Drosophila melanogaster: one gene and its partner. The main gene of each other region encodes a partner of the protein of the gene in region 2 in a complex. Each region holds a gene or a part of one and is shown on either strand. Other genes may lie near its edges.

The links. The genes of interacting proteins can lie anywhere in the genome.
Region 1: the proteins of DIP-eta (region 2) and dpr1 are in contact, whole or in part, in a crystal structure (PDB 6NRW), measured with the Drosophila melanogaster proteins. Residues at the interface, in NP_001188701.2 of Drosophila melanogaster: Tyr72, Lys73, Val74, Ala75, Leu77, Arg78, Val79, Thr81, Gln82, Thr83, Ile84, Ile87, Ile92, Thr93, Lys94, Asn95, Met124, Gln126, Ile127, Asn128, Thr129, Asp130, Met132; in NP_001286645.1 of Drosophila melanogaster: Asp82, Lys83, Ser86, Ile88, Lys90, Asp92, Leu93, His94, Ile95, Ala98, Tyr103, Thr104, Ser105, Asp106, Glu136, Gln138, Asn140, Glu142, Lys144.

Annotation. Positions count from the first base shown.
Region 1 is NT_033778.4:20,696,596-20,701,482, forward strand, and holds the start of dpr1 (defective proboscis extension response 1), read left to right. Parts: upstream 1-1,887; 5' UTR 1,888-2,590; coding exon 2,591-2,675; intron 2,676-4,887.
Region 2 is NT_033779.5:5,614,902-5,619,559, reverse strand, and holds the start of DIP-eta (Dpr-interacting protein eta), read left to right. Parts: upstream 1-1,613; 5' UTR 1,614-1,905; intron 1,906-3,898; exon of another isoform or gene 3,899-4,330; intron 4,331-4,658.

The DNA.
Region 1 (4,887 bases), on a different chromosome or scaffold from region 2:
TTACTTCTGGTGCTATTACTCAGTGATGATTTATTCTGCCATGAATAATAAATCTGTAAGATTTATTTTTAGCCAATGGACCACTAATTTTTTTTGTGTGCACAATTGCAACTTCGCGGTGACACGTGACCGCAAGGACATTTGTTGAGCCTGAATGTGCCGCATCGCACGTCTTAATAGATTTTTGATTTGTTTGCCCACCCTTCTTAGCTGGTAACTCAGACTTCCCCATTCCGAACCCGGATCCATATCCGAATTCGAATCCAAATCCAATTGTGAGGCGGGCGTGCGTCTCTGATTGGAATAATGATTTCGCTGAAGCAAAGATAGAACATAAACCGAGCCAGATTTGTTGTTTTTTTTTTTTTTGTGGGGAGTAACTTGTTTTTGTCAATATAGAAAATCAATAACTGTTTTCGCCGCTACCGTTCGGTTAAATCAGACGAGGGTAATTCAATTAAGAAATCACACAGGAGGCCAGGAATTAGTAAAAATGGAACGCTCAAGGCTCCGCGAAATGGAGGATTAAAAGCGAGTCCTGAAAGTTGGCCATTTCTTTATTTCTGTCTATGATGAACAATGGGATGGTATTTGGGCAACATTTTACAAATTGTTTCAATTAAAAAGTTTACTGACTTTGCTTTTTCGCCTTTTACTTTATCTATAAGCGGCTTGCGATTGACACGTGCCTCCATCGCCACGCCCCCCCGACTGAACGCCTCCTTCGGTTATCGAATGGTAGTAATCGCTTTTTGGGGCCGCTAATTGCGGCGACCTTGATTGGTTGGGTGGTATTTATAAGTCCGCAAGTTGATTGCATAATACTGGCAATGTTTGGGCAGTGGGCCATAAGTCGTAAGCTGGGAAAGCCAAAAGCTGGGCCAATCAATTAAAAATAATCAGGCGGAAAAAGTTCTGGCCAATCTGCACAAATATATGTATATATTTCACAGTCGCTAATTAATTTAATTGATTTAAACGCTTCGGCTTGACCAATAGCAAGGCGAGGGGTTTGGGGGGTGTTATCGAGTGCATTTGATCTGTTTGTTTGCACAAAATTAAATTGACTTGTAATTAAAAGTTTCGCAATTGATTGAAATTCTCGTGTGTGCTTTTCCTTTGTGCTTTTGGGTGGCTGCGATGAGTCCCAGTACTAAGAACGCTTCAGGGAAATTCGCAGCAAATAAACAAAAAATAAGAAAAAGAAAAAAAAAAAAACACTAAAAAGTGCTAATTAGGAGCATTAATTAAAAATGCATTTTTTGTTTGCCGCTCAATTGAACTGCAGAGAACGTGGAACTGTAACAGTTTTCATACACTGGACATTTTCTCTTTAGGCCTGCGGAGTATAAGAGCGGCAGTATAAGAGTATCCCTAACTGACCTATGGCAGGATATTTTTGCGCGGTTTTCTTATTGTTTAGCAGCTTAAATGGTAGTGGGCATAATTAAATATTATATTAAAAACAAGAAGCAAGTTTCATTTATTAAGAAGTAGAACAATTTATTTCCTTTTATGATTTCCCTACATTTTAAAAGCAGAATGGTAAAACTAAGTCCCTAGAAAGTGGAATACAATACTAATATGTTAAAAAAAAGGTTTTATGAGTCTTAATAATAATTAAATAATTAGTAAAGGCTGTAATATAATTATTCATAAGCATTTTATTACAGTTGCAATAGTGCTTTATTACCTGAGACATTATATTCGATATAAACAAAGTTGCTTGGTAATTTCGTGCTCCAATAAGCCGACTGAAGAGAGCGGCTCTGCAGTTTTAGTTCTCTTTGCTCTTACATGTGAACAATATATATGCGAACTTGCCCGAGTGCCGAAGTTAGCCGAAGTCGAGGCGTTCGCCATGTGCCCGAGCGCCGATTACCAGTCAGTTCCATCCTGTGACTCGAAGGCGAAGCACGCGTTTCTTGATTTATGTGCGCGGGTTGTAGTCCCAGTTAAATCCTGTTCAGATATATTCCTCAGTGTTGAGGGTTTCGAAAAAGTGGGCCTAATGAGTGCCCGGGCCTTCGTGTTAATGGCGAATTAATGACGGGGCGATTAAAATGCAATAGCCACATGCATGGGGCGCCGTAATGAGCTGAACCGAGCGACTGAGTACAGTGAAACACAGTGCCATAAATTAGAGGCGCCCACAAAGTGTAGCCTACTGCTTAGCGGCTTTTGGGCTTACGATCTGTTTGAAGTGTTCGTAGACCGTTAAAACCTTTCGCACGCCCACAAAAAAAAAAGTTCTTGTGTAAAGCTCATTTCGCAGCAGATTAACAAAAAAGAAAAAAAAAACAAAACCAGAAAAAAAGGTCAACTCTCAGTGAAAACGAACCAAAAACAGGGCCAAGCGGAGAAAGTACTTTCATTGCTCCCCAGGCAGAGCTTAACCGAGAGTTTTGCCGGGCTCTAATTTGACGGAATCGTTAGTTGACCAGTGACGTTCCACCACCCGGGTGCACCCCCACCACACCGGAATCCGTTTCGCCGGATCCGGATCGCGTGCCAACTACAAGCGTAATAACAATAAACTTGCGGATAACAACCGCAGATACACAGATACAGATACAGATACAGCAGCACAATGTCCCTGCCATCCAGAGCCAATATCGGATTACTCAACTGGCTCATCGGCTGGCTGCTGCTGCTGTCGATGGTTTTGCTCAGAGGTGAGTTGTGCGTCGGGCTTTTTAATTAAATAATCCAATTTATTTTCATTTAATTTCTAATTAAATTTAATTTGTTTGCGCCGCGCTTTGGCCCACCTAATTGCCCCCATGCTCACCATGCCCACCACGCCCATCACGCCCACCATGCCCGTTGTAACCCAAAGACTTTCCTTTGTCGCCTAGGATTTCCCGTCTAATTTCCGGAAAACGAGCGATTTTCGCTGGCCTGGAAAGCGGGCGAATGCGAATTGAAAATTCTTTAATTTTTGTGCTAAGAATTTTAATTCCGCTACAGAGTCGGCAAAAGTTTTCCCTTTTGTCCCTGGCGCAAGTCAAAAGGTGAAGCATTTAATGCCCATCTGTGTGTGACTCCCAAAAAGTGGAGAACCAACAAAATGAAACATTATACAGAGGGAAAAACGAGTGCTCCCCCCGCATCTTGGTTTTAGAATATTTTTGTTTTTAATGCATATATTATATATGTATTTATACGAACTCTTCATGTTTTTTTTTGGGTTAAGATGAGTTAACAAAGTCAGCTAAAGTATATTTCTGTTAAATTATATAATATTACAAAATGTTTTAATATTGGATTTTGGATTGAATTTAACAACACTTTTAGAATATTCTACTTAAACTTTGTTTGAAGTAAGAACTTGAAATACTCACATTGTTATTGTACAATATTTAGTTTTATAGATACAATCACATACAAAAGTAGTTAGAAAATGTTTTAAAGGCTAGTCTACTATCATCTGCATTTAAAACTATTATTTACAGAAAAGCATATATGCAACTAAGTACTCCGGCTATTTGATTTTCCGTGCATTCGTGACCCACTCCTGTCCAGAGTTTTGCAGTCCTAGTTTCGCAGCCCACAAGGTTGGTCCAGTGACCAACTGAAGGGCAGGAGGATGAATGGCGAATGGCCGCATAGTGCGAGTGCGAATGCCACATGCAACGTGTGGGCTGGGCAAACGGTTTTATATAATAGTTTGCAACAGTGGGGCACAAGTCTCACTTTCAATGCATCAAATGAGAAGCACGCGCTTGTGATGCGCCGCGCCACAGAGATAGAAATGTGGGAAAATAAAAAGTAAATATGAAAAATAACACATACTAACGAGCGGCAGACACTTGGAAAATGCTGTTGAAGCTTGGTCATGGCCAAAATGCTTCTGGCTGCAGTTGCACTTGATGTTGTTGCCGCTTGCGCAGCAGCAGCAGCAGCTGCGTTGCATGTGGCACGTTGCAGTTGACACACGAAACTATTGCCATTGGGCTTGGCTTGGCTTTTTGGTTTTTCAGTTTTGGGGTTTAGCCGCCTGTTTGCTGCTTTTAAGTTTGCACTTTTTAGCTTTCAGCGGCTAGCAATTTTCTACTTTCCGTTTTCAGCTCGTCGTTTGTCATCTCTGAAAACAGTAAATTGCATTTTTATACAATTTTCCATCATTTGACTTGGCAGTTGTTCGTCTGGGCTTTGTAATTTTCAAATGAAATACTTTCCGAATGCAATTCGCTTTTGCGCAAATTGTTTCCTTCGTCCTGCTTTCCTTTGACTTGGCTGCTTCTTTGCCTTCTACCCGCCTATCTTGTTAGCCCATTGGCATCTGTCTGGCCATTTCATTTGGCTAAAAGCTACTTGAAGTTGGTTAAGCGCAGACAAACAGACGAAATAACTCATCTTGGCAATTGCAGAACCTGCAAAAAGGCAAGCAATCAAAAAAGATTCCTATCGAATTACTGGGCAACCGATTTTCCAAGGATTTTCTTTGGTCTGGGTTTTATTTGTTCTCTCACAAAGGTGATGATTATTACTTGTAATGATATATTGGAATTAAAATTATTTAATACAAAGTTTTTGGGCATAAAGATGGTTTAAGTTGATTGCAAAAGGCTAACAAGTCAAAATCTAAAATGTAATTTTTCACTACTTTAGCATGGACAACTTTGACAATTAGCCATATTCACTTTTTAAGTACCAATATTTTATAGTTAAATTTGCATATTATTATGCAGATTATTTTTATTTTTATTATATATATATGCATATTGGAATTTTTTGAGGCAAATTTTCGGCCGGCTGTTTGATTCTTTTTCTCAAATTAATTGACAGGGAAAAACTCGACAAATGCATGCGCATATTTCCATAATGAATTCATAAAACTTTCGATCGTGTCCTTTCGCGAGCTCGTGTTATTTGGTTTGTTGG
Region 2 (4,658 bases):
AGCGGGATAGATAGTTCCTTCCAGGGACGCTTTATAAATCCTTTTTATACGTCATAAAATCTGTTATTGGTGGGTTTCTACTGTTTCCATCGCTATTATTTATTGGTCGTGTGCGTGTGTTGTGCGAAATTATATGCCTGTTATAAAGACGCGATAGGGAAAGGGGGCGGGAGTTGATTAGCTCCCGAAATATATATATATATATATAAGTATATATGAGCAATTTAGAGTTGCAGAGGGCGGTGGCCAGGTCAAAACGGTGCCTGACACAATGTGGCACGGTTATTGAAAAGCGACTGGCTGGTGTGCGTGTGTGGGTGGGTGACTTTCCTGCCTCGCTTGTTGCACTTGCCACACATAATGGAAATCTCCAAAGAAAAGTTTCACCAAGCAGAAGAAATTTAATTAAATAATGTATCATAGCGAACGGACTTTGAAGCATTTTTGAATCGATCGCAGTCAATTTTTAGTTGCATATTTCAAAGTATTGGGGGCACTAATATATTTAATAACAATCAAAACTGACTCGGAACGATGCAGGCGAATTTTATTAAATAATATTTCATGCTGAACGACTTTGTTATATCGTTTTATATAAATAAGACGGCCTAGTAAAGCACTAATTTAATTTTAAAAATTTTATTTCAATTCTTAGTTGGAAAGAACTTTGTTTCTGCATATATACTACAAATTATATCGTTAGAAAATTTTTGTTTGAGAATTTCAAACAGATTTCAGTTAGATGTAAGATTGGCCTTAGTTACGTCTTTAAATTTATGGAAACTATTTCTTGCGAACCATTGAAACATTGTTTTTTATCAATACATACTTAAATTTAAAGCATAATTTTCTGATAATGATTGATTTATATTAAATGAATCCCGTAAAAGAGATCCAAAATAGAAGACAGCGAAAGATCATCTTGCAGATGGCTTCCATTCCATTTTCTTCTACCTACAAGTCAAAATATATAGTATTTTCCTATGGCAATAATCTGTTGTACTTATTGCAGTTGTCAGAATTGCAAGTGATAATTCCCTCTCTCATATTCAAGCGCCACGACCAATGACAATTCATTTCTTCATCTCACACAGTTACTTACTATCAGCACCCCCTCTCACCATCACCATCCCTTCACCCAACCCAAAAAGGGTTAACCCTTTCCTTTGCCACAGATTTCATTCATAAATGCGAGCCACCAGTTTCACGCGCCCAAAAGTATGGCGAGAGAATTTCCCAGGCTTTCAATGCCATTCAATTCGTATTCAACCGAGCCGAGAGCGCGCCCCCCATTGGGCAGCACACGCACACACACACGCGCAGAGCATGTTAGGAAAAAAGAAGCACCACGAAGTGAAAAGCGCCCGCCAACAAAAAGCAAAATAAAATGTGGCCCAGCAACAACAAAAATCACAGTTGTCTGATTCGTTCGCGAGGCCGCTGCCCACCCCCCGGGCGCCCACTAAAAAACACCACCCACCCACTGGGGCGCCCACACTCCCCCCAAAACCCCCCAAAACGACGACGATTCGCCAAAGGAGCATCTTCGGCATCGCTCGGCAGTCGCTGGGAGTCGTTCCACGCGACTTTGGTGGCCCTCGGAAATGCTGGCTTCAGTACATCGACGGCGCTCGGTTCGTGCGGTTGGCCTTTAGTCCTTCGAATCCTGCTGCATACAAGCAAGCAGAATCCCTAACGGAATCGCGTGTGTTTTTTGCCGCCAAGTGTTGCATTCGTGCTGCAAGTGAATCGAAGTGATGCTGTAGACGCCATGAGTGACTTGTGCTGAGCGAATTTCTCGACAGGATTTAAAAAAAAAAAAATCAGGACAGCTCAGCCGCAGGACATGTGCAATTTGGAGTTTCACGAAAAATACAAGATTGCCAAGAAAATGCTCTGAAAAAGGTTGTTATGCTGCAGCTATTAAGTTAAATGCGAACTTCCATTAAAATCTGCATGCAAGACTATTGAAAGAAAGCAAGGAATCCTTTTTCTAATCGCTGGCTGTGATTGCGGCCAGTGAAGGCATTCGAAAATAGTTTGGCAGCGATTTCGGCCAGGTCAAATCGACAACAAGTAGAATTCGCTCGCGTGTTGAGTCGCGCGCGTTTTTAGCCGCTTGTTGGCAATTTAGCCGCGATTTTGGCGACATTTGCCGTCAGCTGCGTGTTTGCTGTAATTATATTTAAAGTAAAAACAAAGCCCGAGTTATTTATGAAGCAACAACAATCGGGCCACCCTCGGCGGTCAATGCTCGTCACATGATTTGCCATTCCAGCTGCATGCGTGTCTGTGTGTGTGTGTGTGTGTATCGTGAAATTTGCCTACAAATGTGAATGTGTCTGGCGCGCCACTCGACGCTGTTTATTACGAGTGTCCCCGTATGGCAGGAGTGCACTGTTTAGGCCACATGGGCAACAATTGCATATTTTATGTTTCACGGCTGCCCGAGTGTAATTTAAAGTTCATTGATATCCATAAAGCGCAGGACAAACCCTCGACGCTTCATGCCAATTTGCTGTCTAGCTGGCTAGCCATTTGTTGCAAATATGTTGCAGCGCTTTTGGGACGAACCGGAAATAATATGTGTACAGTGTACACTGTACAACCCACATTCGGTGGTTTTCCCCCGGGGTGGCATGATGGTGCCTGTTTTCGATTTATGGCGTTTCTCTATCATTTGCATTTTACATATAATTTCTGATCAGTTGTTATCTGCTCGATTGTGATTTCAGTTGGCGCCCACAGCCGAATGTGCACTGTCTACTGACGCTCCAGGTGGGGCCGAGTGGTATACATATATGTATATTATGGAAATTAAAACATGTTGACTCAAGATTGAAAACCCTGTTGTTCTGCTGCGAAATCGTAATCCCCTTAATCCGAATTCCCCCGCCTGCTCCGGTATCAATTGCATAAGAAGAATTCCAATTGCCCCCGGAGCGATAACGAAATGGTTGGCAAGGCCTCGTCGTTCAGTCGGCTTGACATAATGGCCGGCATGTGAGGAGTTGGATTTTTCCTGCCATTGTTGTTGCTGTTGTTAATAACAAGCGATAATAATCAACTTCCGTGCTGGAAAGCGAGCGGAGGAGAAAATTGTGAAAAACCGAGCGAAACTCTGATTTCTAGAAGGCGCTGCCAGCCTGAACACTATGAGTTATGCAAATTTTATGCAAGGTCCGGTTAACTGGGCTGCCCTTTTCTGGGCCGGATTAAAAAAAATTTAAAAAGCTAGACGGCGAATAATTCTGAAAAATGTCGAAGTGGCATCGCGATAGAGCGGGATATTTATCACGTGTTAATTAATGTTTGCGCTGGAAATTGAATTTAAAGTATAGCTCGAGAAGTCTGGTAGTAGTAGCGAATGACATTTCAGTTGAAGCTTCTACATGTCAGCATTATTGTTTTAAAGGGAAAAATGCAAAAGGTGCTTCAAGCAAACTGTCGGGGGGGTTACTGAAAATTTGCCATAATTCAGCAGCTGATTATACACATTGAAGCGTTGGAGAAAAAGGGACCGTGCATGTCCGAAACCATAAAAATAATATATGGCTTGAACACTACAAAGGTGCCATGAGCACCTCTTATTATTTGTCATAAATATTTTCTTTTTTTGCTTTTTCATAAGTTGTACTTAAAGCTGGTAACAAAATAAGTACAGGAAAAGGATTTAGAAACATCCAAATTGAAATAAATTACACATTTGCTTGGAAAATTGCTTGTGGTCAATTTAGGCATTCATCACATTGCTCGATTGAATTTTCGCTTTGTTTAAATACTTTCCATTATTTATTACAAAATATTTTCAATTTTATATAATTACAGAAGAATGTGAAACACAATATATATTATATATGCTTGAATGAATGAAGATATTTTGTCAGTGTAGGCTGTTGTGCCAATTTAGAAAAGCAAAACTTTTAACTCGTGATAATTAATAAACATCAGTGATCTACATCGCCATCAATATCCAATGGCACCAAACATCCAAGAGCTGCCCACCAGAAGCGGGAAGGTACTTTCGACACAATCGCCTCGATATGGCTTCGGATTGTGGTCAGGCCGTGGGCCTGAAGCCTGAAGCCATCACCTGTCCCTGACTCCGAGTCCGACTCCTGACGTGGCCCGCATGCTCTAAATTATTAATAATATTGCCAGGCCCATTTGCTAGACATTTTTAGTGCCTACCGCCGTTCCAGGCCAACCGCCACCCCCTCCCTGTAACCATTTGCAGTGCTGTCGTTTGCCTGTTGTCTTTTGTAGTCTACTTTTCTGGGCATGCAATGCGGATTTAAATGTGTGAGTGTATGGGTGTGTGTGTGTATGTGTGTATGACAAAGGACACATAGCACACATGCCGGCAACTTTGCTTTCAATTCCGCTAAATTATGAAAAAATCAATACGAACTCGAAGGGAGGGGACAAGGAATTTTAATGAAATGTCAGTTTAAAATGGTTCCTGTCAGTTTGCGGCCGCCAGAAAGTAGACTTTTATTTTTCCAAAACCCGAAATCGTTTGCATGTTCAGGCTCATGGCCGAGTCAGCTGGAAAGTTAATCAAGGTTCCCCAATCATAAGGGCGGACTTTCGAACATATTGATATCTGCGTCTGGCAGCAGGCACCCTTCTATTATTGCCCCCGAACTAGTTTTAAG